Linked DNA regions of Lepisosteus oculatus. The protein of the gene in region 2 interacts with the protein of the main gene of each other region in a pairwise test. Links are inferred from orthologs where the notes say so. Each region holds a gene or a part of one and is shown on either strand. Other genes may lie near its edges.

Evidence for each region.
Region 1: the proteins of pdcd4b (region 2) and eif4a2 interact in binary tests that used the Homo sapiens proteins (3 or more experiments, as listed by UniProt). The two-hybrid records come from large-scale screens. The link is inferred for Lepisosteus oculatus from reciprocal best matches to the Homo sapiens genes PDCD4 and EIF4A2.

Annotation. Positions count from the first base shown.
Region 1 is NC_090708.1:572,090-587,991, reverse strand, and holds the start of eif4a2 (eukaryotic initiation factor 4A-II), read right to left. Parts: upstream 5,999-15,902; 5' UTR 5,919-5,998; coding exon 5,890-5,918; intron 5,299-5,889; exon of another isoform or gene 5,227-5,298; intron 5,003-5,226; coding exon 4,945-5,002; intron 4,857-4,944; coding exon 4,724-4,856; intron 4,684-4,723; exon of another isoform or gene 4,614-4,683; intron 4,261-4,613; coding exon 4,121-4,260; intron 3,784-4,120; exon of another isoform or gene 3,656-3,783; intron 3,567-3,655; coding exon 3,398-3,566; intron 3,220-3,397; coding exon 3,110-3,219; intron 2,768-3,109; exon of another isoform or gene 2,593-2,767; intron 2,527-2,592; coding exon 2,383-2,526; intron 1,627-2,382; exon of another isoform or gene 1,444-1,626; intron 1,367-1,443; coding exon 1,229-1,366; intron 1,015-1,228; coding exon 925-1,014; intron 524-924; coding exon 444-523; intron 213-443; coding exon 68-212; 3' UTR 1-67. Other genes in the region: kng1 (kininogen-1), read right to left, coding at 7,930-8,664, 9,061-9,153, 9,729-9,839, 10,274-10,446, 11,036-11,120, 11,212-11,331, 12,322-12,519. UniProt on the Homo sapiens protein: ATP-dependent RNA helicase which is a subunit of the eIF4F complex involved in cap recognition and is required for mRNA binding to ribosome.
Region 2 is NC_090699.1:39,629,602-39,645,120, reverse strand, and holds the start of pdcd4b (programmed cell death protein 4b), read left to right. Parts: upstream 1-9,591; 5' UTR 9,592-9,606; coding exon 9,607-9,660; intron 9,661-9,813; coding exon 9,814-9,874; intron 9,875-11,844; coding exon 11,845-12,150; intron 12,151-15,519. UniProt on the Homo sapiens protein: Inhibits translation initiation and cap-dependent translation. May excert its function by hindering the interaction between EIF4A1 and EIF4G. Inhibits the helicase activity of EIF4A. Modulates the activation of JUN kinase.

The DNA.
Region 1 (15,902 bases), on a different chromosome or scaffold from region 2:
ATAAGCACAATGCACGCGTTTATTCAACAACAGCGAGCACCGCATAAGATCAATCTCATCCCAGGGTTTAAATCAGATCAGCCACATTCATCGGCATCTCCTCAACAGTAGTATTGTAAAAAGTCTCAATATCCCGAAGAATCCGCTTGTCTTCTTCAGTAACAAAGTTTATAGCAACTCCTTTTCTGCCAAAACGGCCACCACGACCAATTCTGCAAAGAGCGAAAGAAAACGGGTCAGTTACAGGTCTGATTTAACCAGCAAAGACACGATTCACTCTTAAGACTACAATCTGAAATAAAATTATACAATAAAGTTATAGCTTTAATGAATTAGTTTGAACATTACGCTCAACAGTTTCAACATGCACCACGTACCAGAAAAGCTCAAGTTATAGACTAGAGTGGGGAATACCCCAGGATTTCATTTCAACTGTCACTCACCTGTGTATGTAGTTTTCCCGATTAGTGGGTAGATCATAGTTGATGACTAGAGACACCTGTTGTACATCAATGCCACGAGCCTTAAAAACAAAACACTTCACTTAGACCTCTTCTAGTAATTTTCTAACAAAGGAGAATTACTGAAATCTGGATTTTAGGAGAATTTCCACTTTGGGTTTTTACAGCTGAATGACATCCTTCTAAAAGGCAAACTAGCTACACCATGTAAATTTTCACAAAACTTCATGGTTCTATAATCTTTATGTTGGATAGCCTTCTATTTAACAACTTCCTCAAAAGCAGAATTCTTCTAGTCCCATTTTCTTCCAAATGGAAATACTCCAGCTCTACAATGTATTTAACAGGTACTGAAATGCTTTCACATGCAAATGTTGGAGAGCACTGTAGTGTTTGAAACTTAACTGATGACTTAAAAGATGCAAAACCAACATCTTAAGATAAAGAAGTAACAGGTACTCACCAGCAAATCAGTTGTGATCAGAACACGACTAGATCCAGATCTAAACTCTCTCATGATCACATCTCGCTCCTTCTGGTCCATATCTCCATGCTGCAAGTACATACACAAGATGAAGATAACAATCCCTCTTTAACCCGCCACACAACAGAACACATTATACATGTGCAGTGTGCAAAAGTCAAAGGTCCAAAAGAGCATTTAATCACTGCCTGTTTTGTTGTGCTAAAGGGGACAGCAAGAAATGTGCAGGACATTGACAAGTACTGCACTGCTACCCTGAGCAGAACAGGAAATCTGATCTCACCAGAGCAGAAACTGTGAAATCCCTGGCATGCATCTTTTCTGTCAACCAGTCAACCTTCCTTCTTGTATTCAAAAAAATGACAGCCTGAGTGATTGTCAGAGTCTCGTACAAGTCACACAGCGTGTCCAACTTCCACTCCTGCAAGAGAGGGGAAATCCCAAAGTAAAAACCTGATTTTATTTGTATAGCAAAAAAAAAGACAAGCTCTAAATCCAAAGTGTTGCACAGAATCTTAAGACAGAGGACACCGGACATTAAGAAAGAGGTCCATCCTAGTCTCATTCCAATGCTGTGCACTTGCTCTCCTTCTTGGATGTACTCATGCTGGCATTATCACAAGAGCCAAACCAAAGAGGCTTGAGTCTCACAATTTCAGCACTGTGCTTTTACTAGAAGGAACGAAAAATAATTAAAACCCCATCCCCAGAAAATAATAATTGATAATTGCTTACACTTCTATAGCACTTTTCTGGACACTCCACTCAAAACACTTTACAGGTAATGGGGACTCCCCTCCACCACCACCACATGCAGCATCCACATGGATGATGCGACGGCAACCATAGTGCGCCAGAACACTCACCACACATCAGCTATCAGTGGGGAGGAGAACAGAGTAATGTAGCCAATTCATAGATGGGGATTAAGAGCCCATGATTGGTAAGGGCCAATGGGAAATTTGGCCAGGACTCCGGGGTTACACCCCTACTCTTTTCGAGAAACGCCCTGGGATTTTTAATGACCACAGAGAGTCAGGACCTCGGTTTTACGTCTCATCCGAAGGATGGCGCCTGTTTACAGTATAGTGTCCCCGTCACTATTCTGGGGCATTAGGGCCCACATGGACCGCAGGGTGAGCGCCCCCTGCTGGCCCCACTAACACCTCTTCCATCAGCAACCTTAGTATTTTCCCAGGAGGTCCCCCATCCAGGTACTGACCAGGCTCACACCTGCATAGCTTCAGTGGGTTGTGAGTTGCAGGGTGATATGGCTGCTGGCTAACTTGCAAGGAATGTTATCACTTTAATAATAATAATAGCTTACACTTATATAGCACTTTTCTGGACATTCCACTCAAAGCGCTTTGGGGACTCCCCTCCACAACCACCACTTTACATAGCACAACGCAGTGCAGTCTGTAGTATAACACCCACCTCTCTTTCTACATTGATGTAGAACTGCTTGATACCTTCTAAGGTAAGCTCTTCTTTCTTCACGAGGATACGGATTGGGTCACGCATGAATTTTTTGGTCACCTCCAACACATCAGCTGGCATGGTAGCCGAGAGAAGCACGACCTGTAAAATGTCACATTATTGCCATAACCGCTTTCTTAGAATCGAGTCTCCAAACAAGCAAGCAAGGAATGTAGCACTGGACCTTGAGAACATGGACACTGGACATTAAGAAAGAGGTCCAACCAAGTCTCTTTTGCAGTACAGTGCAAATACTCTTCTTCCCGTTTATACTCTGCTAGCATTACTGTCAAATCCATTAAATGGATTTCACAGTTTTAGCACAGTTCTTTTGTAAGGAAGACTTCCACATAAAAGTGGAATACGCCAGATGAACCAAAGTCTTCACCTACTGTTCCCAAACTATCCCACCTCCAACAGAGGTATTCCAAAAATACTGGAACTACAATTATGGCCAATATGCCCACAAGGAAAACCATTTCTGAATAATCATGTTTCCAAGTGTGCAAATGGCATAACTTTTCTGGGGGGATCAAACATGGAACAGTATCCATGGCTCTTGTGAAGACTGTCAGAAAAGCACCAGCATAAAAGTGCTATAATTTGTCTTCCATACTTATTAAATGCAGTTCTTTGTGAATTTGTGTCACCCAGTTTACTGAAAGAACACTAAAAGAACACTCACTTGGATGTTTGTGCTCAACTTCTGGAAAATTTCATAGATTTGATCCTTGAATCCCCGACTCAACATCTCATCAGCTTCATCCAAAACAAACATCTTGATCCACTTAGGAGCTGTTTAACCAAAGAACATTTTAGTTCAAGGTCACTCCCCTTTAAATATTTCTATTTATGTGCAAGATACTGCAGTGATAATGTTTTAAAATAATAGTTCTCTCCTCTAGAGCGCAGTTCCAAACACTAGCTCACCACCTCTTCCCTGCAAGAGAGCCCATCAAGGGCAGATACTTACACAGGTACCTCCTGTTCAGCATGTCGAACACCCGCCCAGGGGTGCCCACAACAATGTGGGGGGCTTCCGCCTGCAGCTTCTGCATCTCATTCCTCACATTCGTGCCCCCAATGCAGGCGTGGCATGTGGCACCCATGTAGTCACCCAAAGCCAGGATTACTTTCTGAATCTGACAGAAAACCAAGAATCCCGTGTCAGAACTACAGGACAACAACACTAAATATGTACGTTAACACAAAATGCAAAAGCAGAATGACAGTGTTCGTGACCAAGCGTCCCTGCCAGTCAACAAGACAGGACAGTCAGGGATAGTATGAAACGAGTTTCTTTCTGCAGGGGGAACGACAATAGAGCACTTCACAGCTGTATTGTAACTTATCCTGCAAAACAATTAGAATTTTTACATTAACTTTCACATTAAGAAATGAAGAGTCCTGAACAGTACCAATAGGCTGAACAAAAAATAGTTCAGGTGTGTAGCTGCATCAGCATGCACAGGCCACAAAGGAACAAGTAATAGGTTTATTCCCTGCTGAAACAAGAAGCACGTTTCGGAAGGCTCTACAGCCAAAACGCTGTGCTTTCTTTCTTCTCAGCATGGAATAAACCTATTACCTGTTCCCAAAGAAAAATTAGTACCTCTTCTTTTGGAAGACCATCCAAACATGCTGCCTTGGTTTACTGTGCCACATTGTATTCTCTCAGTCCTCAGGTGCGGCATACCTGTTGAGCCAGCTCTCTGGTTGGAGCCAGGACCAGAGCCTGCGTCTCCTTCTGGTCAATCTCCAGCTGCTGCAGGATGGAGATGGCAAAGGTGGCCGTCTTGCCAGTTCCTGACTGGGCCTGAGCAATGACATCATAGCCTGAAAAAGACAAGGCAATAAGCTTTGATCAACTTTTGTAGAACATTTTAAGGGTACAATTTAATATTTATCTAGTAACAAAAGTTACAAGTTCATCAGCACCAACTTGCTGAGGATTTGAATTTCACCTACTAGCTGATATGCCAGTTCTGATGGTGCTAAAACCCTAGGGGGCTCACTTTTAGTGTCCCTCGTGAGCACTGTGCTTATTAGAGGGGCACTCATACCATAGCTCCCCACACTTCCACAAAGGCACCTGAACTCCCCCTTGCTTTAAAAGTGTGATTTAAACCTATCTGGTATTTCTGAATCTCATACAATCTCTTAAGAAGTTTCAACCAGTGTCTTGGTCAGAGTGATCAGTAAGAAGTGTTATCTCCATTCCAGGTCAGTCCCGAAAGATGGAATACCATCATTTCACTCCTCCCAGCAATATGCAGAAGTGACACACTGGACATTTTACCTTTAATGCAAGGAATGATTGCTCGCTGCTGAATGGCAGATGGCTTTTCAAAACCATAGGCATAAATACCACGGAGGAGCGTTTCTTTTAAGTTCATGTCATCAAAGTTGTCCACAATTTCATTCCAGTTGCTCTGTAGGAAGAGGCAGACATGATAAGCCCACGTGTGCCAAGTCGTACACCCGAAACGAGCCGCTCCTACACGCCGCTCGGACTCTCACCTCGATGACACCATCAGGCTCCATTCCTTCCGGGCCGCCATGGTCTCTGTCTCTAGAGCTGCGAAAACCAAGAGGGTGGAAGCGAAACGTCAGCGAATTCCAGCAACTCGGTCCAGGCAGACTGCGAACTTTCAACCCGGGATTCCGTTTCGCCCAGGCCTTGCTAAGCAGACACAGGGGCTCGACTCGGGCCCTGTACGGCAAGAAGTGGTGCGGGCACCCCCCAAGGCGAGCCCACCGGGGGCCCCCACCCCGGCCACGTGGAATGGACGGCTCGGACGGCAGTGATCAGCAGCAAAAAGGGTGTCTCCATTACTGGTCAGTCCCGAAAGATGGTAGGCCATCACCTCACTGCGTCCGAGCGTCTCCCACCCGTTACTCCACTGTACCGCCGTCGAGCCCGCGGCGTAAGCAGCCGGGCAGGGCGGGAGCGGGGAACACGACTCCATTACAGAAGTGCTCATCGGCGGACCGGCGGAGGCTCACGGCCCCAGGCTACCGGCAGGCACAAGGCGCTCCCGCCCAGTAGCACGCCGAGGGCCCGGAGCCAGAGATCGCCGTGGGCTCCCCTCCACACGGAGGGGGAGAGAAAAAAAAATCACGGCCTAGCCCGAAACTGGGTGGGCAGCTCGCCGAGCGCCCCCCTCTCGCCCTCGCTAAACCCACACAAGCCCGACAGCGCACAAAAAAAGCCTACAGCTCGGTGTTCCGGCTGCACAGCCGCCGGACACGATTACACGAAACATATTTCCCACAACCCGACAGGCGTTTCCAGAGCCCCAGTTCGGCACGGGCGCCTCTCCATCTAGTACGCGAAAAACGTTCCAAGACGAAGGAACCGCTACACCTCGGCATACCGAGAAGCAGCACGAACACGAAATAATAAAAGATGGTTATATTTTAATATCAGACCGGCTGGTTCTGTTTTTTCTTGTCGATTTTTACCTGTTATAATCCGCAGAACCGCCTGACATGATCCGGCCGAAGCTTCAGCGCTCAACTGAAAAGGAGGAGGCATTCACCCGCTCATCTTTTTATCTAGCCGGACCCCAGCTTCCGGCAAGGGGGAAACCCCCCGACAAACACCCACCTCTCACTCCCGAAGCCCCATAATAAATACACAGAGAACAGAAATGCGTGTACGTTCCTATGATGCGTTGTGAATATAAGGTAATATTTTTTTTAACAAAATGCATTTCGGACTATATAACTCAGCGGAAGGATATTGCAGTAAAAGAAAAGGGCTATGCGGCTCACTACGGGGTCTCCCGAAAGCCCCTGCATATGAGGACACCGGAAGTTCCGTCCACAGTTCTGGGACACTGCTTTCCCATTGGCTGCATTCCAGGAAGTGAAGTGTCATGGGTCTCGCCGCTAGTAGTCGTAAGTGGGCCAGCGGTGTACCAGGTGTTTTCCAGAAACTAGGTAATTTACAGGGGCACAGGGAAAGTTTCAAACTTTTTGTATTATTTGTGTGTTATTATGTGTATACAAGCAAAATCAACCTTGAAGTTAAACGCAACTAGAAAATAAAACAAAACAATGCTGATCACACGTCCGAATAATTATTTGAAAAGTACAGTAATAGTTAATGGAGGTCTCCAGTTTTTAAATTCTAGCTCTGCGACTTGATCGGAATAGTTAGATTACAGAATTACCTTGAATTTTAACCAGGGTATTCAGCCGATACACACGATGCCTCGGGGCCTGCAGGCTCATTAGCGAGCCTTTCGCCCTCCTGTGAGTAGGCGGTGGATTAAAATTGGTGGTGTTTGAAAAAGAGAGTTGGATCTGGCCTGGCGCTCTCGTCTCTGAGGTTTTGGATTAAAGGGCCTCCAGTCCCACAGCTGGTGTCTCTGTCGTATGGTCGTACACCCAAACGCCCCGAAGGCAAAAGCCTGCGCTGCCAGTGGCACCTCTGCCAGCAGCTGTGAACTACTGTATATATATTTACAAACAAGTAATATGCTGAAAGGGGAAGAAAGAAAGCACAACGTTTCGGCTGTGGAGCCTTTTACGTGTTCCTTTGCAGCCTACGCATGCTGACCTAGCTACCCACTGGAACTATATATATTATGTATATAATCAAGGGAAACAGTTAAGTGTGTTTTTATTTTGTACTTTTTATCAAAGTGTCGGGGCGGTGAGAGGGAGAATGGGATCGCGGGAGTCGAGCTGCTGCCGCCCGGGATCGAGAGGAGCCAGCTGAGGTGTCCTGGGCCTGTGGTGAGGACGCACCCTGGCCGTCTCCTGCGCACGGCCAGGCTCGCTGGAGGGAGTAGGTCTCTCAGGGAATCCCCCAGGAGCAGCTGGAGACTGTTGCTAGGGAAAAAGGGGTCTAGTCTGCCCTGCCCTGCGCAGCCTGTTAGCACTGCAGCCCTTCACCAGGAATAAGCAGATGATGATGATGTTTTTTATCAATAATTACTATACTAAAGGGAACAGAACCTTTAAATCGCAGGAGACCTCTCATTTGTAACTGTTATTATGTTGTTTAAGTTTTCACTCTCCAGAGTGAAGGGAAACCTTTCTTCAGTGCTTTTCTAGTTTACAATGTTTTTAAATATCATAACAGTCATATAAATTAATAATAATAATAATAATACATTAAAGATGTTTTTAACTATTTTGATTAAAGCTCAAAAGCACAGGTCTTTCAAAACACACTGAAAATAATGTCAAAGTGTGAAATGAAAAGCTTTTGTTTTGTGTGGATTTTAGAGTTCCTTTAGAAATAAAGGACAACAACTTTGGTATTTACTGTGTATTTTAATAACTTTCAAACACTGGTAAATTACATCCACCATAGCCAAATAAGAGTGAAATAGCAGTACGTCATAAAATATAGTCCTGGGCACGGGTCTTCTTTTCCTTTATGTTTCTGGGATGATTTAGTACTGCATCATAAACGTAGGAAAGCATTTAATTGTATGCACAGTACCTACTGTACATCAGGGTCTAGTGACAGAAGCCTCTGGGACTTATTTAGGGCAACAAGTCCAGGTCGTCGAAGCTGGAGGGGGGATTTAGAGGAGGCGATGTGGGGTTCGTCTGGGGGGGCTCTTGCTTCCATGGCTTGGAGGGGCAGTGGAAGGACGGAGTCTCACGCAGGGGGAACCCCAGCGAGATTGCAGGACCAGTCGTCGGAGCCGTTGGATTCGTTGGAATGGGAGCTGACCCCAGTGGAACACCACCTGCCTCCGTTAAGTCCTGACCGATCACCGGTCCTGGGCCAGAGCCCTGCGTAGCACTTTCGACCACCAGCACAGGGGACTCTGCTGTGGCCAGGACAGGGGGTTTTCCTGTAGCTTCCGAAGACTCTTCAGAAGACACATCAGGATCTTGCAGCAGGAACGGTGGAAATTCCTCTTGATGTCCGTATCCGTGTCCCTGTCCCTGTCCCTGTCCCTGTCCCTGTCCCTGTCCGTGTCCCTGTCCGTGTCCCTGTCCCTGTCCGTGTCCCTGTCCGTGTCCCTTTCCCTGTCCCTGTCCGTGTCCCTGTCCGTGTCCCTGTCCACGGCTGTGACTCTGTCCAGGACCCTGTACATGGCCTGGGCTGTGTCCACGCCCGGAGTGAAGCCCACGATCCAGGCGTATCATGGGCACATCCTGCTGCATGAGACGCCCTGGGAGAGGCTGTGCTACAGGCCGGGCACCGTCTATAGCCACAGCTGCAGTTCGGAAAGGAGACCAGCCAGGGGGCCTCCTGGCGAAGGTGTTCTATAAAAAATAGAAAGTTCACAAGCTATGCTGAGAATGTTTCTCATCATTCAGCAACTTAATCACCAAGTGGGATTTAAAAATTGCTAGTGTTGCACAGGAATCATATTGAGCACTAGTTTTCACAAAGAATATCTAAAAATTAGCATGAATGAACAAACAATAAAGCAAGACAGATTCTAAAAAGCACGATTTAACTATTACACGTGACCTCGGCAAAAAGTTTAAGAAAAAATGTTACACACGACTTTCCCAGGGGCTTGTTTTTTATTCTAGCTGTGCTACAAATTCAGCCGCTTTGCTGTTTTTGTCATGAGATGTATGTAAAGGTGGCTGTAAAAAGCATCACTAAAACCGCTTCATCATCTTCCCCAGATAATAAATGTAAATGCTTACAGGTACATGCACTTGGGGTCCACAGGTCACAGTTGGGTCAGTTGTTTGCCTCCAAGGTGCAACAACAACGGAAGAATTGCACTGGGCGAAAACCTGAGGGCAGACGAGAAAGGGCAGAGGTTACAGGTGGAGAGACAGGCTCACAAGCTGACCTGTTACATTGAGCTGCTGTAGAACCTCTTACACGTTTTTCAATCATGCACCTCCCTTCACTGCTACCGCCCGGACTCGGTAAGGGAGTCATGACATCTGATGCCAGCTCTGGGTGGGTTGTGGGCGGGGCTTTGCTGAAACTGTCAGATCGTTATGAGCACTCTGAATAAGAGCCCTGTTTATGCAGTGAGCGAGCACATGCTGCAGGGCCTGAAAGGACATTAACTGTAGTCATTGATGGCAAAAAACATACTGTGACCACGACGATCTGGATGTGACCACGATTTTCAATGCTAATGGACCAGATGATCTAACTGTGTAGAGATTAATTTAGAAAATTCAACCAATAATTCAATTCATTCTACCGAAACACCTGTTTAAGGTCTTAGTTCCATTACAATACATTAGTTTTTAACATATGTGTTTCATAATGTGTTCTTTTGCATAAAATAAAGATAGCGCTAACTTTGCATATTTGGTTAACTGAGACATGCACACTGGGCCATGTCACTTACGTTTCTGTCTTCGTCAGGGTGACAGTCACTTGTTATGTTCACCACTTCGGATTTGGAGCAGTTGCTGAGGCGAATTTCGAAATCAATGTTATACAAGATCCCACTGACCACCTAAAGAATTGAAAGGAAGCATTGAGGGAGTCACCCTGAGCAACAGGCAACGTGCAGATCAGAGGCAGCTGTCCGGACGATCACAAGAAGTCCAGCTTTAGTCTGCATCATGAGAGAGCGAGGCCTGGGCTCAGAGAGTCAGCGAGTACAGAGAAAAGAGCTGTTGCAGCATGTGGCCTGTGTTTCAGAATGGCTATGGAGGTCACAGGAGGCCCGATTTCACTTTGGCTCTAGAGAGGGTCAAAGGAGTGTGTCTGGGAAATTCTAAACTGGAATTTTATTGTTGTAGCTGCTGTTAAAATAATAAGTGAAAGGAACATGAATCAATAGCATAACATCCTAGACTCCTGTGCCCTTGATACTGTGAGACATAGACTAGCAATCTGTAACGTGTAGTTGTATTGTTCATGAGCTTCAACAGGGTGGAGACCAACCTGTGAAACAGCCTTGGTCACTGCGGACACGATGAAGTGGTGTGAAGAATTGTCCTGGGCGTTCAGTTTCTCCATCGCTAACTGCAGTATTTCTGTCACTGAGTCGCTGTTGGAGTCTATTTCATGAGGGCACCCAGCACACAGATAAAATTCAGGAACAATATTCGGTTCGACTGAAAAAAACAGAGGATTCAAACTGATTTTTTTGGTCTCATTTAATTATCTCAAAACATACTTGAACTAGAAACCTTTGTCAACTAATTTACAAAATAACGGAGACATTGTGAACGTTATAATATCAGAAACTCAGCAACATTGCAAGGAATTATGCTCGATCAATGTATCAATTGCATCTCTTCTTTATATTTCCAATTGGCAGTAATTACTTGCAATACCTGCTGTCTGTTGTTGGCATCAATTAGTCGTCATATCTTCTCCCGTTCATTTTTAGTTATGATACTTTCAAGGTCTTGAAGGGCAATCTTTCAAAATGTATTTTGGAGGGAAATAAACCTTTTTTATTGGTAAACGTTTCTTCAGCTGGAAGCAGAACGATGACTTTAAATAATATTAAAGTCCAGCTGTAATAGATTAGTAAACCACTCTGACACTGCTGACAATATTACCCTAAGCTTCACAGGGCAACTCGTCTGTGAGCAGTGACTCAGCTGACACCCAGCCAAAGATCCTTAACTGACTGTAATGCCCCCATTGTGTGACTTAATTATTATTCAATTGATTAATCAATTGATTCAGTCTTACCAGAGGCAACGCATTCCACTGACGTAACATCCTGCGATTTTTCCTGATGATTTATTACAACTGTAGCAGTGCATGGCCAGGGGGCCTGGGAAATGGAAATTAAAAAAAAATTAAAACAAAGTTCTGCTGGAACATTCTTCCTCAACCACAGAAGCTCACTGCAGGAGCTGACTTACCCTCAGCTGGCTGTTTGCCACATAGTCGCATTGTTTCCAGACTTTGTCGCTCCCCACAGGGCAGTCAGACTCTTTGACCAGAAAGAGCAGCGAGATCTCTGTCCCCGTGTCACTCACCTCCTGGGCACAAGCAGGAGAGAGACCGTTTAACCCTCACAATGCGGGCGCCCAGAGAAATTCAACAGTCACTCACAGCTCAATGCCCTAATTTACTAATTCAAACTATCTGACAATAAAATCAGAGTCTTACAAGAATGCTGGATTTGTCAGGCTTTTAACATCGTGTTCCCACCTCTGACTTCACCAGGGTGTTATTGTGAAGGACCTGGACCTGTAGTATTAGTATAATGGATCCATTTCAGTGGATTTCTGGGCTGTGGGTATCACAGTCTAACTTTTGCAGGGCCAGTAATATCATTTGATAACTCAAGCCTCCATTTTCAGGATCATGGATTTTGTAAAGAAGTTTGAGAACATACAGTAGGAGAGTTTCACAAAGTAGTAACTGAACAACTTTCTCCAGCTAAACGCTTTCATAAAGCAATAGTACACATAATAAGAAAGCCTTTTGACAAAAAACAAAGTCATTGGGGTTTTACTGTATGATAATTCTGTCCTTTAGAAGTAGCCGAGAGCACTGTTCAGCTGCTGTCAACACAGCAGCCTACTTGTAATACTTCAGCCTATTTCTGCAGTGACCCACTATGCCTTCCCCTAAATCGTTTTCTAGATGTCTCTATATAATCTCTGCTGACTTTCCTGTCTTTCTCACACCCGAAGAAAGCTCCACAGCTGACATGTTCTGTTTCTTTTCTTTTCAGCATGGAATAAACCTTTACTTGTTCAGCATGGAATAAACCTACGCATGCTGACGCAGCTACCTGCTTGAACTGTGAGATATTTCATTTCCCACCACTGATACACTTCAAAAGCCCACCAGACAGTTAGACAGATGAACACACAAACAGAAACACAGCGGAAACTGACTTTTCATATGAAACCACCTAGAATTCTGCTTTGAAGCATGTTAACAAAATGCACAGAGTTCAAACTCTGTTCAAACTGACATCCCCAGCAGTGTATCACAAAGAGACAAAAACGTCTACTTACTTTCCAGGCTTCACTGATTTGGAAGAGTGCAAGCTGGTTGCCCCCGGTAAGGTTCTTATTATATTCTAAAATGGCATGATCCACAGCTAGCTCAACCTCTTTGTCATCACAGAAAGCTTGAATCTTTTCGGAACGAGCCCCTTTAAGACAAATCAGTAAAGAGACTGAAAAAATTGCTAAAAGCTTGATATTTAACATTGTGAAAGCACATGAGCAGTGGAAGGGTTTCACAGCAGTGTGGACAGAGAGGTACCCAGTGCAAGTCCTCTCCAAACTCAGACTCCCATTTCAGAGATGCCTGACTGATAATTACAGTATATATAACCCCTGGTACTGCAAATACAGCCCACTCATCCAAACAAACCTGTTCAAATAAGATGTCCCAACCTGGTCAATGCAGATATCGGACAGCGATTGGCCAGGGCAGAATGCAAATGTTTGCTTATTAGTGCTCCTCGGTCACTCAAGGCTTGCAAACTTTAAAAATCAATATTTTGGTTTCAAAAGTCAGGGATTTACAAAGATAGTGCTGTCCCAGCTACAGGTATGTCACCTGTTTTAAGAATTTTTCCCTTCTAGAAAGATACAGACAGCTGAGCAGCGTAGGCCCCAGTTCTCCCCCTGACCCTGTATGGGACAAAGAGATTAGAAAATGGATGGGTGGACGATGCAGACATGCTTTCACATGTGCAGCGTTTTGTTTGTTTACTATAATTGGTTACAAAGCCGTTTAAACAATAATTTTAAGAACATGAGAAAGGTTACCAGCAGGAGGAGGCCATTCCACCTGTCCAGCTCACATGGTTACTAGCACCTCGTTGATCTAACAATCTGTTCCAGAAAGAGAAGCCTGGGTATCACTGCCATCGCCATGGCTGAGTGGCCTGTTACACACTCCCACAACCCTTTGTGTGAATAAGTGCCTCATGCTCTCTGTTTCAAAAGCACTTCCTCTTAACTTCCATTTGAGTCCCCTGAGTCATGTTGCACTGGTCATTCTGGAAGAGTCCCCTGTGCGCCGCAGACGACTTGTCTGCCTGTGCTTCTGTCCTTTCAACCGAAAAGCTGAGGGTGTAGATGGGTTACCTCATCGCCAACACGGGGGCTCTCTTAAACACATGTAACCACTTGGACTCACAGTACAAGACCCCAGAAGTAGTGCATCAAGTCAGCGGTGTAAATGATGTTTTCCCGAAAGCTTTGCAAATTGGCTTGGCCATCGCAGTCCACAAATGTTCCAGTTAAGGCAAGACTTCTGCTGGAATGGATGTCTATTATTAATTCTGTCATTCATAGATTTTGCTTGAGTAAGCACATTGATCTTTCCAGAGTACAGAGCTGCTCTGACAGTCCTGAACTGAAGAAATGTTTATCTGTCCAGATACTCTGGACCCTGTTCCCTCGTTTGCTTGTAGTATCTGGCTCACCTGCGGCAGAACCCGGATCTGTTCTGGATACTGGGATATAACTGTCCAGTAGGTCATACACCTCGTGTCTCATCTAACACTCAAGTGTTGTCACATACTGTAACTACAGGAACCTGCCAGTCAAAGGCTAGTTTTCTAATTAGACTTAAAAAAAACAATGTTACTTTTATCTTTTATTTTACTCATTATTGAAGACATTTCCTTCAAGGGTTTGAATATCAGTGTGTACCACTGAATAACATGACCTTTAAAAAAATAAGATAAAAATAGGCTATACTAAGATATTTTTGTAATAATACTTAAATAACTGTTGGCCTTTCTCAATTAACGTTCATTCTCCATTTCTCCAAGTGAGGGGGGGGCAGAGTTAAATATTACTTCCTGGAGGGTGAATGCCAAATACATTATTCTGTTTGCTTTTGCTATTTTTTACCATCTTGTGTGTGTAGTTTTAGCAAAACCAGGACAGTACTGGCAATCACAAGGTTATAACAGCTTAATAAGCTCCTTTATTGTATGAAGCAGTTAAAGTGTAATGTATTGAAAGGAACTGTTCTAAGAGACATGGCAAATGCCTTTAATTAATTTGTTCAAATCCACACCTGTCGAAGATTGAGTGCCTTCTGCCCCTTATTTTTAATGTCAAGTACAATTTTGACTGTGCCAAACATTTACCTTTCTTATTGAGCAGCAGGGTTTTTCGACACGAGAAAAACAGACAAGAAGAGACTTTCTCTCATTCTTCTCATTTAGATATTATCTTTTATCTCATTAACCAAAGACTACCATTCAGTCATTTCTTAAGGAATTCCAGAGCCTCTCCCTGTGGAGACTCTGCCAGCCCAGTAGAGGCACTCACGATCTCGGGTTCGAGCCCAGCCAATGTCACTAGCGTCACTGAGGGTGGGGGGAGATGATGCCCAGCGGCACAGCGCCCCCTGTGGCATCTGTTAGTGGCACGTCTCTGCTCCAGTCAGCTCCGAACCTGCAGGACAGGCGACGTGTTTTAGCACAAGTGGCTGCAGGCAGGTGGGTCAGAGCAGTCTGCCTCCAGCTCCTCAGTCTCCCCTGAGACATGCCTGTTCCACACCACATGTGTGTGAAGGGACTGGAATTTGTAGTAGCTCATTTTCTAATCATTGCATATATTCTTAATATTGATTGAAGTAGTATTGATTCATACTAATATTGATTTGTTGTATATAGAAGAAAACAACCACAACGTTTCGGCTGTGGAGCCTTCTTCAGGCATGTACATTTCGGGTTTCTACACACCTGAAGAAGGCTCCACAGCTGAAACATTGTGTTTCTTTTTTTCTCTTCCCACCAGGAATTAACCTTCACTTGTTCCTTTGCAGCCTGACGCAGCTCCCTACTTAATGTGTTGTCTGATTAATGTTTTTTGATTATTAATGTGTTATCATTATATCACTCTTATGTCCTGCAATACGTGTTTGTCCTTCTTCTGAGTTGCTCCTGCTTAGGCCTGGGGTTATATGAAAATTATATGAAAACTATATCATACCCATTCCTGTGCGAAGGCTCGGAAGATATTAGCTTGGCCTTGATGGAGCTACTTGGCAGGTAGCTGTATCAGAACATAGACATAAGGGCCTCATTAGAACCACTAGGAGGGAGGTAACTACCCATACAGGTTCAGATAAGGGACACCACGTTCTTCATCCCTGAGTCCCAGGGCTGCTGTAGTAACTTATTTGGTCTGAAGTTCCTGTCCTGGCCCCCGATCCTTACAAGTATAACAAGAACAATTGGTGAAATTTTCACCATAACCTTTGGTTTCAATTACTCTGTTGGTCTTGAATTAGTCCTTTGGGTTGAGTCTGTCATCTTAAATTTCCTGAAAATACTCCTACTTCTACTACATCTACCCAACCAGTAGGACTCCTACAGATACAATGTGCTCTGATCATTACTAATCCTGTGACTGCAGGGTGGGGACCAGTAGGGGGATTGTTAAGCTGCGAAAAAATTAAAAAAGGCTCCTGCTCATTGCCACCTTGCAACTAACTGATCTGACTCATTCTTCTTTCGCCACTAGTGACGCCACTACTTCTCTGCAGAACTACTGCCACTCGTAGTAACATTATCGCAAGAGCAACATTCAGGCAACCAGCTCCTTGAAACATCTGCGCT
Region 2 (15,519 bases):
CTGACAGAATGGAATATTGTTGAGGAGGAAGATGTACAACAAAATTACCAAATGGTCTGCCGTGGGGGAAATATTCCTTGAGCAGGGTAGACACTATAAGCATCCACATACGACAAATTGGCTTCTAAGAAATCTCACAGCTGGCATGAACATAAGTCACAAAAGTCAGTCCGACATGAATGCCATGTTCATGTAACCTGTCAGTGTATTCCTGAACAGTAACTTGCTGTGTAGATAGATTCCTAAGTTGCTGTGCAGTGTTCTGGCCATTGCAGCTGCTGTCTGAAGGTGATTAAGGAGAAGCATGAGCCTGTTCTTGTCTTGCACACTTGCACACACTCACGCCAGGGACAATTTTTCTAGAAGCCAATTAACCTACCAGTATGTCTGCAAACTGGGAGGAAACCGGAGCACCTGGAGGAAACCAACACGAACACTGGAAGAACGTATAAACTCCACACAGATAGCACCCCAGGTGTGGAACTGAAACCAGGGCCCCAGTGCTCGCAGCTAGGCTAACCACTGTGCTACCACTGTGCTGCCATGTTCCCCCTCTATAGCCTTCCCTACCATTGATATCACGATTTTCATGTACCATCTGAGAAGTGCACTCATATTGTTTCTGAAGGAGTTTGTCACGAGTCATTTCATTCATCATTGGATTATCATGGTATCACTGTGTATGAGATGGACTCTTTCTTTTTATTAAAGTGAACTTGCCTGATGTGCCTTTTTAAATACTGCAGTTACTGCACATTTCCACAAAGGAAATATGTACATGAAATTATTCTACACTTCAAGGATTTTGTGATATGTCAATATGCTGTCCCTTTTTACTAGTTATTTATGTGCAAGATGTTTTGTGTGCAAACCAAAAACTAACGATAAATTTGCCTAAAAAATGTTATGCAGTTTCTATATCTTGGCAGTATAGAACTACTAAGACTGCCTATCAAAGATTTTTTTCTAGAAACACTTATATAACTGCGATACGTATTTAATTGAAAACGGGTATAAATTTGCCTTTGCATGAACTTTAATTTACTCTTAAAAGTTTTGATAAAGTGATTTGAAAACTTACAAGCAATGGCAAACACATTAGGCCAGTCCATTAGATTGCTCAGGATTTCAGGTAAAACTGCAAATTGTTTTAAAATTGGTCAAGCATTTGCAATTTTAAATTTGCTACTTTGAACCAGTAATTCATTTTAAAAAGGTAAGTTTGGAAATAATTAACACCTTGTTTCCAATCTTTTTCTTTAATGTCTAGCTCAGAATTCCTAAGGTTGTAAATACCCATTTCAAACACTACAATGGGGTTTTAGACATGTAGTTGTTTTTTGCAACCATTATTGTAAATTTCGAACTCAATAGAGGCACGTACAGTATGTGGCTTAACTTCTGCTTGCATATTTTTTATAAACAAAGGTACTGACAAATACAAAGTGAGACATTCAGGGAATAATTAAAGAGAAAAAAATGAAGCAATGCTATTACTGGTGAAATACTTGAACTGGACCATTTGTGTTATTATTTATTATGGGGTTTAAAAACTACATGGGTTTTGTTGGGGGAGGGAGTAATTGGATTTTGTTTTCTGTTTTCTGTACTGTGAATTCTGAGACACCCAGAAATATTGGTGAATTTTATGTTTTCTTTAGCTTTCAAATTTAAATTAATTTAGAGATGGTCTCAATAAATGTTTTAAAAAAAGACACTAAGCCTGGGTGTTATTTTTCTTGTTTTAATGCCAGTGTGGGGTAAATATAAGGTATAAGAAGACATCCTTCTTCAGTAAACAAATACATAATTTATATGTTCTTGCATTTAGACTAAAGGCTGCTTAAAAATTACATTTCACTGAAGTATAAAATATATAATATTAAGTTTCAAACTCACTTTTGATAATATGTGTAACTGAGTGTGTTATGAGTTAAAGACAGTATTTTTCAAACCGATTGAACTGTTTCAAGTGCAGCTTGACCATGTTGTTGTTGCTAGGAGACTAAGAAAGTTCCACACCAGGGACAGACACATTGCATCTTTTGTGCTTTTTATTTTAAATGTACCTCCCACACCAAAATCAGTGCCCCCATTTTACAGTGGAATTAGTTACAGTACGTTTCCTTTGCACTTCTGTATCCATTATATAAACATCAAGCTTCAATATAAACATCCATTTCTGACCTTGCAAGATACAGAAGGAGAAGGCAGCATGATGTGTTTGTACTCTGTTTTGTGCTTGGTGTTGTGGCACAGACAAGGAGGACCTCTTTACTGCTCCGCTGTTAGAGTGGTGGACACAGTGCGTGCAGTATTGTAAACAATTTTGAATACAAAAGGATACATGTGTATATGATGCCCATTGCACAATATAAATTAATATATTTTCTGTAAAAATGAAATGATATCCAAAACAGTATTATAATGACTTGCTAAAATGTCATGGTTGTTAGGCATCCCATGAAGAAGTGCCACACCATTTCAAGGCCTCTGAAAGAATATGGACAGTGATAGCAGTGAAGAGTTTTCAATATTTAGTGAACATTATGGCTTTTTGAAACACACTTCTCATGATATGAGCATAGAAAAGCAAGTTATGGTTAAGGATTGTTACTCCTACTGACCGATTGATACCTAATTGTATTTATATTCTGAGAGAGATTAAAGAATCTGGTACTGTTGACAACAGGAAAACAAAATCTATCCGGAAGTGATGTTAATCTCCTCAGAATAAATTCCCTCCTTGACAGATGTGAATCCTGTAGAGATCTTGAGAATGACCTTGCTTCAAGTTCAGGTGTTAATGTCTCTCCGGGAACTGTAAAATGCAGAGTAGCACAAAATGCTCCCAACTGCCATATAGTAACTGGTTGCAAGCCATTTCTGAGGTGAGGAAACATACAAAGACAAATGAGCAAATACTTCTAAGCATCTACAAGGTTAAAGAGGCACAAACTGCACAAAGCCCACTCAGGAGGGAGAATATGTAATAACTTCACCGAGAAGAGACTAGAACACAAGGATAGAGATAATCAAAGCAACCCAATGCTACCACAGCCAGGCCAATCACAAGAGATGCGACCCAGTGAGGACTTCTTGGACATCTGTGCCGACAAAGCTGCTGCAGTAACCCCCTCTTCCAGGGGCTCTGTGACACTGATTCTGCACCAGGAATAGGCTACATTCCTACAGGGCTGAGCTACAGTACAGTACAGCATTCATCCTCAAAGTAAGCTTTCAAGCAAAACATGGCACTATAAAATATTAAGGAACAAGTAATAGGTTTATTCCATGCTGGAAAGAGAAGAAAGAAAACACAATGTTCCGCCGAAACGTTGTTTTCTTTCTTCTCTTTTCAGCATGGAATAAACCTATTACTAGTTCCATTGCAGCCTACAGTACGCATGCTGACGCAGCTACCCACCTGACCTATAAAATATTGGACCCATCATGAAGCAGCATACCAAATTGTTTAGGAAAAATGTATCTTGTGATCATGAGACCACGTGATACGTTGTTTACTACCATATAATGCCCCATGAATAAGAATTTAATTTTTTAAATGTCTACGATAGTAAGAGTCTTGTGTTCAACCATAAAATGTCAAGCATTGCCAGACCCTTTAAAAAACGACAAATTGACAATTATTTGGTTCTTTTTAATCTTATTGTTCGTGCTGCTGCTACTGCTGTAAAATACATTTCTTGAATACCGTGTTATTCTCGGCCGCCCTGACTCTAACGCTAAAGAACGTTTTTCAGTTTTAAATGGGGAGGCGCCCTCTAGTGGATAAATTAACAGAGGAGCAGGGGGTTGATCGTTTCTCATCTGATTGCAGAGTGCAGCATGAAATTTAACAGAAGAATACCAACAAAATAATTGCTACAAAGGAAACAAGATTACATATGTTTTTATTTTCCAAAGAAGCCTGTAGTCTTAGTTATTAGTTTTGGGAACTTATGTCTTCTTAGGTTTAATATCATTCCTACAGAGATCCTTCATGTGTCAAATAGGCATCTGTAGCTGCTGCAGTACTATCGGTTTGATTAAAGGTTTTGGTGCCTGTCTGTGTGGAGTCAGCATGGTCTTCCAAAGACAGGCAGGTTAGGTTTCATTGGTGAGTTTAAACTGTCTCTGTAATGAAAGCCACCTCTCATCCAGTGCCATTGCAAAGTTCTAACACGTCTGCAAACATGATGAGTTTTTTTTACTTGTTCTTTGTAAAAAAAAAACTATAGGAATGTCCTATTTATAATTCCAAGCATATTTGCAGACCCATGAAATGGCAGGTCGTGTAGATGTGAAAAAGTACTTTATCAAGTACTTCACTGATTCACAAGGAGAACGTGGGGAAGACCAGACTAAGCAGAATTCAGCCAGGACTTTGGTATTAATGCCCCCCTACTTTTTCTGAGTTTTTTTTTTACGCTTACATATCTTTCCAAACTACGAAAAAGAAGCATTGTATTTAAGAATTTAATAAACATAGAAAGGGAGACAGCATGATTGTATACATTATTTCATATTTTGCCATTAATGACAATAATCCATTTACCCATTTTCTTACCACTTCATCTAATTCAGTGTCGAAGTGGAGCCGGAGTCAATCTCAGCAAGCAATGTGGACAAGGCAGGGTATTCCCTGGACAGGACAAACACACTCACACCAGGGTCAATTTTCCTAGAAGCCAATTAACCAATCTACAGTATGTCTTTGGACTGCCGAAGGAGAGCAGAGCACCCAAAAGAAGCCCACACGATCCTGAGAAGAACTAACAAATTCGACACAGATAGCACCCCAGGTCCAGAATTGATCCCAGGGCCTGAGTGTTGTGAGGCAACAATGCTAACTCCTGCGCCATTGTGCTGGCCAATAACTATAATACTGTATATAATAAAATAGTTTTGTATTTTTAGTTCTGATCTTCTGTTCGTCTGAGGAAGATAAAGACCTGTTGTCTTATCTGGTTTAGTGTTAGTGTCTGTGAGTGAGACATGCTGTTATTGTTAATGTGATGTTTGTATGACATGAAAAGTCAAGGGTTTAGATGCCTGTGTGGGTGCTTACATTCTTTAAAAATAGTATTCCTGCTCTGCCGCGCACATTCTCTTTCTGTATTCAGGTCCTCATGATCCTTTCAGCTCCATCTGCTTTTATATCGGCAGAGCCTCACAAGGGTTTTGTATGATAAAATAAGAATAATGCACAGCACACCTATCTAAAGTGAAAAAAACAGCTCAAGAGCATCTCTCCTATCTCCCACGAACAAAAAATAAATGGTCACGCAAAGGCACAGTGCCATTGCAGTTAAGATTAAATGTACCAAAGAACAAGGCAAGGCCATGTTTTTTGACACACAGTAGTACGTGGAAACGACTGTCTTAAAGACACAACTTCCTTAGCCAGTTTGGTATTGCAATGGATTTGATTCCTTTAATCTTCAGTACAAGGCTCTTGTGCTTGTGCTTTTGCATTTCCTTTCCCCTGTCTTAAATCTAAAAGACACTAGAATGGAAAGGCTAGAGAGTGATCTGTAAGCAACCAATCTAATTACTGTGTACTAACAAGTTCCAGTGCTGGCTGTTGATGAGCTTAGTAACCAATGCAGATTCCAGTACACACAAAAAGAGCTTTTAATAGAACAGAGTACTGAATTAAAAATAATAATAATAAAGGCATCAATGTCAGGATACTGCAGGTCTTTTCAATCATCTATTTGATTGGACCTAAAAAATGGTTCTTATCCAAATAATTAGTTCAACTAAGTAATTAAGATTAGGGGGGGTAGTGACTTCTGAAATACATTATCATATGTTACAGTACCAAAGGACAGTTACTTTAAAGGAATTTAGACTTCTTGATTTGATATAAAAGACTCATGCTTTCACAGCTCTGATAACACTCTGTGTCATCTTCCCTTGCTTTGAACCCAGTGTTTCTTTCCTTCCAAAGCAGTGTAACCAGAGACAGATCTGTGACCAGCATACTTCAGTGGGCACAGACAGCTGGCAGTTCCTACAGTAGATTTATGAGCTCAGAAAAGAACAAATGAGGTGAGTGGCTTGCTGACATCCAACTAGTCAGAGCCTTTTGAAGAGCTGTTTGCAATCATGTGTCACCTGTAAAACTTTATATCCACCCTCTTCTACAATGACAGGCAATCTGTGCAGCATAAAATCTTACCACGTCTTTTTTTTTTAAACAAGATTTTGTTATTCACGGTGTTCAGCATTCATTTGAGACACTGAGCTTAGAACTCCCATGTTTTTCACATTGCTATCACAATTATTTGCTCTCCCTCAATAAAAAATGAAATAATTACAATTAAGTAGCCTGTGAGTTAGTGAAAATAACAAGAAAGTGAACCTCTCATTAAACTTGAAAAAAAAAACAACAGTTTGGCTTACAGTTTTGTGTGAAAAGAGCAATAGTGTCCACACCCTGAGCTGTAAAAGCAGAAGATGAAAGCCTTGTGAATTACTTCATTTTCACAGGCTATCCAAAAGTGGAAAATAAAAATCCTTATCAAGGACATTTGTGCACCAAATATTTACAAGTTTTCTTGTAAATGAGACATTGAAAGGTAGCTAGCCAATTTTTTGAAAGACAATGTTATTAATGTAATGCCTTCCCTTCTACTCTACTGTTAACTGTTGTCGTTGTCAGGGTTTCTTAACACCACCTTATCTTTTTCAGTTTCTAGGTTTCACACAAGGTTTATTTATATCAAAAGGAGCTTTGCCACCATAAATCAATGTTCTTCCCACTGAAAATGCAGGGAATGTACTGATTTAGCAGTTTACATTGTTAAAATATATGCTTACTTGAGCATTTTTGAAAGCAACTTCACTGTTTTATTTCAACAAAAGCTCATTTAAAAATGTAATGTGTTATAAAGTAAGTTTAATGCATGTGGAGGGTAATTTTGCACAAAGCAATTGCATAAAAATTTCGATGATTAATTCTCTGAAATTAGGCCCAATTTATCTAGGGTAACATAAGACTTGGATGCATGTCACCATGGTAACAAGTAGGCCATCATGCAGTGAATCAAAAATAAGTATATATTACAAACCACAGCGCAAGGAAGAAGAAAGAAAGGTTTTAATATTAATAATCTGCATGTTTACTAGAGATTAAAACTTAAACCAAAGAAAGAATCCATTCATTTTTCTGTCTATACCTGTCTGTGTATCTGTAAGTTTATCTAAACACAAAACACTGTATTATTGCTTTTTATCTGTGAACCAAGAGAGCACTGTACGTTGGATTGACAGTGAGGAGCTGTTATTGAGCTGCCTGTCACAGCATGGAGAGTGTTATTTACACCTGGATGAGGCTTAGTTTTGACCACAGTGCTCCACTTGACCCCTCTGTAAATGGCAGCTTCATTGCTGCAAAGAGGAGCAATTGGCCAGCGTCCCAGACAAGGGAAGTCTCACTCTCTTACTGCCGCCAACACGGAGGTGAGCCGTGGATCCACTTATCCCCCTTTTCCTCAGGAGGCCTGACGCCATCGCGGAGCAGCCCAGAGAGACAGTGGTACTGTACACTGCTGAGCCAGAGCAGTCCGGCTCCAGTCACATCTAATGAGCAGGCTGCCTTCCTGCTGCTTGGGCTGCTGGCCTGAAGGTGATCAAGCGCTGCATATGAGATAATATCTGTCTTTTTTGTATCTGTCCATTGCTGATTTGTAATTTCTTTTAGTGGGATTGTTTTCTCTCTCACTCGTTTAAATCCAGTGTAATCAGACTCATGCAGGAATTTAAGCAACATGATTGTACATTCTCAATGTGTGTTATTACTTTGGACATTTCATTCATTGCTTAATGTGAAACAGCTGGATTTTTTTATCAACTTCCCCACAATATACTGTGTATCAGGTATAATTTATTTAAAACCTATTTTTTTTATAACTAAGCACGGTTTGTTTTCTGGTTATTGTGAAAGGCACTCTAGCTGCGGGTTCTGTATTGTTGTACCCAGTCTTCTTGTGCTCAAATTATCCGGTTTAAAAGTTACCATGCGGAGAAAAAGAAATCCGCGCATGAAAAGAACGCTCTGGGTGCTTAAAAGAGAGTAGTCCAAGGACCGAAAGTTATTCTTGTGAGGTTGAATAGTAAGCTCTAATGACTCCCTATAACTACGCAAATAATTTTCATGAACTGAAAATGATTCAAATACATAGTAAATACATTTTAAAGAATTTGTATGTATGGGACCATCTTCCTTTTCATGCGTGCTGCTTCACATTGCTTTGAGAATTGCAAATAATGCATCATCAACAGTATGGAAGACAAGGGACGCATATACAGTAGCAGGTTTGTTAATCTAATATGCGTAACCGCATCGTTCGTAAATCACATGTGTTAAATACTTTTTATCACGGAAGTATTTTACACGCTTTTGAAACAATTTGTGTTAAAGCGCCAGAAAAGAGTGCAATCATATCCAGAATTCCAATGTCAGGAATTCTGATGATTCTCCAAAACCTCATTTTATTTGTCATTGTAGTGAAAACCTGCTTTTTGAAACAGTACTTTAAGTTGTATCAGATCCAAATTTTGTAATTATTTTGTCTAGTTTTGTTTCAGAAGTAATTATCAATGGATACTTACAACCTGGTAACCCTATATAAGAAGTGTATAGGGCTACCTCACCACAATGCAGTCGATTTGTTTAATTAACGCGCAGCGGTAGTACAGGACCGCCAACCTGTAGGTGGCAGCACATAAAAAGGTGGAATTGACTTGTTTTATTTATTTTCGTAAGTGAGTTTTTAAAAAAACATGCAGTGGTTCCGATAGGTTGTTGAAGTATTCCGCCTCCCTTCCTCTGACCAATAAAATGCAGGGGTGGAGATCATGTGACATTGTTGCTGGGCAGAGAAAACAAAAACAATCGAGACTTGGAAGTTGCAGCTGGGACTGGGTTTGAGTGAACACAGTAGGTTAGTACAACTAGTGGATACTTTTGCGGTCATAACATTGCACTCCAGTTGTAAAGTATGATCGCTTTTGTTCAAATTTTGTAATGTACGAGATTAAGAAAACAGAAATTAGGTGTTTTTGGAAGCTCTGATTGTTGTTGGTTAAGTACTGTAGATAATAAACATAGTTAACACTAAGTTGGCATACTCGGTATATAGTACAAGACTACAGGTATTAGTAAACGAAACAAGGACGTTAAATCAGAAACATGGCTCAGCTTCTTTTAGTGCTGTTGAATAATTAACTGCACCTGCTTTGCTGCATTCAAATTATGGCATCATGCTAATGTAGTGCAATTGATGCGTTAGTCTGCATTATTCTAAGCATTTACTGTAATGGGTCATTTAATGCAGTGTTTATCCACGGTAATGTATACATTTGTCATTATTTTACGTTTTGCATCAGGTACTTGTTTAATTTATCTGCTGGATTTGCAGAGCGAAACTCGTAGAATTTTCTAGAAACCAAGTAGCTTGCCAGTGGTACCCCACTAATGGTGGGGACCGTTTACATCATCTTTACAGCAAAATGTTTGAATGATGCTCTGGGGTATCGCCGTGGCTCAAAGGTATAGGAAACAGGGAATAAGAAATCAAGATCGTGTGTGACACAATGCTGTTCCCGCAGAGAAAGGGGGACAGAGGATCTCCGGGCATGTACGGACAAGTGTGTGACTTCAATGTCTTGCAACTTTCCTGCAGAATTTTCGTTTAGAAAAACACGTACACGACGTGCAGGGAAAGCCGTGTCTGCAAGTGTGATAAATTTGCATTTTTTGACGGAAGGATAATAACTTCGGCTTTTGTTTTGCTTTTGCAGCGGACCGCTTTGTGCACCATGGCGACCGAAATCGAAGCTTGGCTTAACGCTAACCACGTAGGTAAGATGCCTCGTTTGCTACACTCCCCCTACAGCCAGCTCGTTTTTTAACATTTCATGTTTTTTTTCTTGGATTTTAATGTGTTAGTTATGGACTTTCTCTTACTTTATATTACCGTGGCGCAAAATGCACGAAGGAAGTACAGGCTGTTATTTGTCGCTGAAGTTGGGGAGTCAGTTGGAAAGAGGTGGGTAACGCTGCTCTGGTGTTTAAGGAATCTGCTCTTGCATCCAGAGTGACTTGATAAAACATCCAGCTGATGGAAAGACAAAATGCGGCGACTTCCATACGTAGCTCAGAAACGACGAAAGACTGGAGTTCAGCATGTGCCAGCGAGTATATTTTATTAATTTTAAACGGCTTGTTAGATCTTCACTTAATGAGGTAATTGAATTGTACATTCTGCTTTCAGAGTGACGATTCATTTGATAAGGTTCTGAAATTGAGTTGTTAGTTTTTACGGAGAGCACTTTTCTCTAAAGAAAAGAATGGTATATGCTCTTAGAGTTGTATTGCAATCTTGCGTTTCTTTTCATTACTTTAAAAGGGTCATATCTCTAACTTCTAGTTATTCAGGTATCTGTAGTTATACCTAAAACTATAAGGAGGTTAAGTAAGTTCTGTAAGCATTAATTACCATCTATCTGTATGGTTTAATTCTGAACCACACCTTGCATTGACATGTTTAATTAAAGTGAGGCAAGCCCTTTTGCAGACATCACAGTCTTACATATGCAATTCCTGTTCACACAAAGTCATTTGAGCTTATTACGGAGATTATTGGGGGTCTTTTCAGTTGTTCTGGAGTGTCCTTTGCTGAAGTGTGTAGTTCCATACAGCTTGATTTTGCTTAATCTCAAAGTGTTGTGTAGGAGCAGCTCCTGACTGACTGTGATGGACTTGAAAACGCATGCAGAGAAATTCATGTGCTGCTCTCGCCACTAACCAGCTGCTCATTTGTAGTACGGCATTCTAGTTTACAAATACTGTTTTAAGTTTCCACAAATGTTGTCCACATCCTGTTTAAAATCGTGTCCAATAGATAAGTCACCTTTCTCTTGTTTGCAGTAGCGCAAACTGATCATCGTCAGTGTAATTGGGAGAAAGCAAATCTGAGCCATAAATCTGCTTCGTGAATCTCCTCATTTGGCCAAGGTCTTTTTATGTTTAGTTGAAGAAATAGATGCAGTTTAAGATCAAACTTAATTCAGTGGTACACTACCATGCATATCTTTGGCAATGGGACTTTTTTTTCCCAGTAGGACTAGCTTTGTGCCTTGTACTGCTAGAAATGGCAAAAGGTTTAGTAAGTAGTGTGACCAAATATGGTGGAATATTAATGAATTAAGTCTGATCTTAACTGCAATGGTAAAAACAGTGGAAAACATTGTTTCATTTTACACCTGAGAATTTGATGTTCTTGACTTGTCCTTTTATTACCTGTACTGACCTCATTCCAGCTGGCAAGTTTAATGTCGGATGCCTCACTAGACTGTCGCCAGAATCAGATTTGTATGTGTTTTTAATGTTTGTCCTGCGTGAAAGTACCATCTGAGTGAGGAGCAGAGCAGCTCTTGTCCAAGTGGATTTCTTCAGCACATCTTGAGAGACCTGTACTCTATACATTCAAAGACGTGCAGTTAATAAAGATGCTTTAAGCTTCTCCTTCCCTTTTTCTTCTGCTTTAATAGATTTGGCTCCTGGCTACAGTGGTTCACAGAAGGCAAATCTTTGTTTTCCTTCTGGCCAAACAGAATTATGCTGGAAAGCTTATCAACTTAAGTTTAAATGAAGGTTTAGGCACAGGGAAGAAATCTGTGGAAGGAGTTTGAATGTCAAGAGGCCAGTTTGATTGAAACAAGACCCATGATCTGTACAGGTGGTAACAGCCAGCCTGTTTCTTTTGAGATTTCCATAGTGGGGGGACAAAAAAATGTGAGTGGGACTGATGAGTGAATTGTCTTCTACAGCAGCCGAAGCTTTGAGTGACTCCAGTCCGTCTGGTGAAGACGAGAAGGTGGAGACCACCAAGCTGGACAATGAGATGAATGGGAACTGGATCACCTCTCCCACAGTTACCATCCACGAAGCGCGGGTGAAGGCCAAGGCCAAGAGGCGGCTGAGGAAGAACTCCTCCCGAGACTCTGGCCGGGGGGACTCCCTCAGCGATAACGGGGAGAGCACCCGCAGCCCGCTGGTCACCCCTACCAGCCCCAAGAGCAAGCTGCTGGACAGAAAGTCCCGGTCTGGGAAGGGCAGGGGACTGCCGAAGAAAGGTAGTTTTCTGCCAGTCTTGTCTGTTTTTCTGCAAGTCCTGCTTAATTCGGTAGTTATCTCCAAATATGTTGCATTAATTTTTAAAAAGATAAGATTATCAAGTAGCAGGTGAAGAATCCCAGATGTGATGTACAGAGTAAACTCGTAAATGTCTTTTTGTTTGTATGAGTTAGAAGGATCCTCAAACAGCTAGTTTTGCTGACGCCCAGTTGATGCAATTACCTAGATGAAAATGTATTTGATTTTGGACTACCTTTTACAGATAAAATAAGTGATATCCAGTTGATGTGAAAGTAGGTGCTAATATCCAGAACCTGTTTATTTGACCTACATTGCTCTCTGTTTCACTGTAGGTGGCTGTAGTAGTGGTTGGGTCTTCTGTTCATCTGGTGTACCCGTTTGGGGTTGAGCTCATACGTACAAATGCAATAGCACAGGATTTCAGTGTGTTACCAGGTAGTGCATTTTATAAGGGATCAGAGCAATTGAAAACCCCCTTTCTTGTAGTGTCAAGTGAATTTAAAAATTAAGAGTTGCATAAAGTGTTTATTCAAGTGCCGAAGTGCTTGAAAGAGTCACTGAATGAAGTGCTGCACAGATGTACCCCGTTGCCCAGATGCCTGCTTATCATGGGAATTGTGAGATCACTGTTTTTAAGGGGTTTACTGGAGCCATGTTTTTCTCCTGCCTGGTTTACTTACTAAGGTGTGATATAAAAGTGTTTCAGACAGGAGCACTGAATACAAACACTGTAGGACCAGTGGTTACATCCTTTGTCAGTCATTAAATAGGGTGTTTCCAGTACATCTGAATTTGAGTTGGATAAGTAAAGTTGATAATTACTTCAGAATTTAATTTTCCTTTAAAAAACATAAATCAGTGACTGCACAAAACTTGCATTAAACACAAGGAAAGCAAGTGAGGCTTTGAAAACTCACTGGTGAGTCAGGCATGCCCTGATATTTAGCAGCAAAGACATAACATTTGAAAAGGTAGTGTTTCATGCTGTGCTTTCTACATGGCCTTAATCAAACTTACATCTAACCTTTACACGGATGCGATACAAAAAAGCCTATTGCCATTCACCTAAAGGTTACAAGACACGGTAAAATATCTTTTGAAATTAATTTGCTAGGGGATTAAGATGCATAACTGATATTCTAGTTGCAATTTTTAGCTGTTACCCATCAGTTGGAGAATCTGACAGTGATATTTTCCTTGTTGTATTTCTGTAGTAGAAAATTAAAGTTTGCTTTTTGTCATACAAAGAATTTACAGATCAAGAAGATACATTTTGTGTAGGTGCACATCTTGTATGCAGAAAAACTACATATGGTGCTTCATTGTCAGAACTCTTTATTTTTAAACCAGCCATTTGTAAATTGGGAATAATCTTTTGACCGATGTAGCCCAGCCTCCTCTTTTAACCACTGCTGGTGTCTCTTACAGTTTCTGTTGACCCCAATCTTGGAAGTACGTACTGAGGGGCTACGTGCTGCACGATGATGACTTTGAGCCCCGTAATGAATGAGATAAAGGTGGACTTTCCTGTTAATCCCTCAGAGTACATTAGTCTAAGTCCCACATGAGTTATGATAAGATGGAACAATATGCCTTCTTTGGCAGACTTCCAGGGCAACATTGTTTTTCCAGGTCAGGATCAATTGTCAGAAAGTGCTCATGGTGCCACTGAGCAATTTGCTCGACTAGCTAGAGCTATTTTGCTCTCCTCTCATGTAGGATACCAGCCATTGTACTTACTATAAAAAAACAAATCCTAATTATGTCAGAATGGCTCATTTTAACACCAAGTAGTGTTTAGTTTGGGCTCTGCAAAGTAGCCCATTGAATTACTTTACTAATATGAAGTTTTATGTATGGAGATGATGGAGATGGTACCTTTATTAGGTATAATTGACTTGTACTTTAATATTTAGTTTTTTCTTGATAAGAAAAAAAGAGCTGAGATATACCATCACCACTTAAATAATCACATATTTACAATGTACAATGTCTGTTGGAGCCATTGCAGAACTAAAACCTGTTAAACAACTCTGGTTGATGCTGCAGTGGTATGTTTTAGTTGACTGGCAATTCTCATGACAATGACACAATTCTCATTTATTGTATCTTATTGATTCTAAGTCATTTTTTTTAACCTATATCTGCAAACTGGCAAAGCTGTCTTTTACTAAATGTTTGCACCTGCTTAAGATGACTAACCCGGAGGTTTGTGTGCCTGGAAATGATTGAGCTCATTTATAAAAGCAGCAAATGGAACACAAAGATCGATTTAGGCTAGGAACAGAGATCAGATTTTCTTTTTGGGTGTGTTTTTTAGCCGTTTTCTTTAGTTTCCAGGGTTAAACAGATGGTCTGCAGCCCAATAACTTACAAGGACAAATACAAAAAAAAGTGCTCTGTCGGAGACATTGGAAATGAGTGAGTGTGCATTTGGTCTTGGAAACCAATAGTAAAGAGGTGAACCTGCATGTGCGCCTGCTCTTGCTACCCTTATATTCTGAGCAGGTTCAGCAGCAATGCGAATAATGAGAAAAATGTTGTTTTTTCTTTTAGTGCAGTTAAGTCTTTATTTGACCAATTTAACTCCTACACCTCGGTCATAACCTGCTCACAATTCAGTGAGACTTCGATGCAGCACTGCAGACAGCTTGGGGTTCATAGCTTGGAATGCTGTACCTTTCAGCATGATACTTCACTTGTATTGCTCAGATAAATATTCTGCTGCCTCAGTGAGTTCTTTCCATATTGTCATCGTCAATGATGGTTTCTTCTTCACTGATTTTGTCGGTTTAAAAAAAGGATTGCAACCTTAAAGGAACAGAAGGGGCTCCCTGTGGCAAAATCCTCAAAACTTTTATGCTGTAAAGCTGGCTGATATGCCATTGTAGTATCCATCCATCCATTTTCTGTTTTATCCAATTCAGGGTCATGGTCAGCCAGAGCCTATCTCAGCAAGCCATGGCCACAAAGTGGGGTACACCCTAACCGGGACGCCAGTCCATCGCAAGGCAGACACAGACACCCACACACTCGCGCCAGGGCAGTTTTACCAGAAGCCAGTTAACCTACCAGTATTTTTTTTTAACTGTGGGAAGAAACTGGAGAACCTGGAGGAAACCCACGCGAACATGGGGAGAACACACAAGCTCCACACACAGGCACCCCAGAGCTCCAGGGTTGAAAGCAGTTCGTTTGTGATGTAGGATCAAGTGAAGCTGAAACCCGAAAATTCAGCCAGATCACATATATACAATAACAGCGGTGCAGTTCTTGATCAGTAGCCAGGTTTCTAGTGTTTATTATATTTACAGTTCTGTACTATTGATCCCTGCAGTACACCAAAA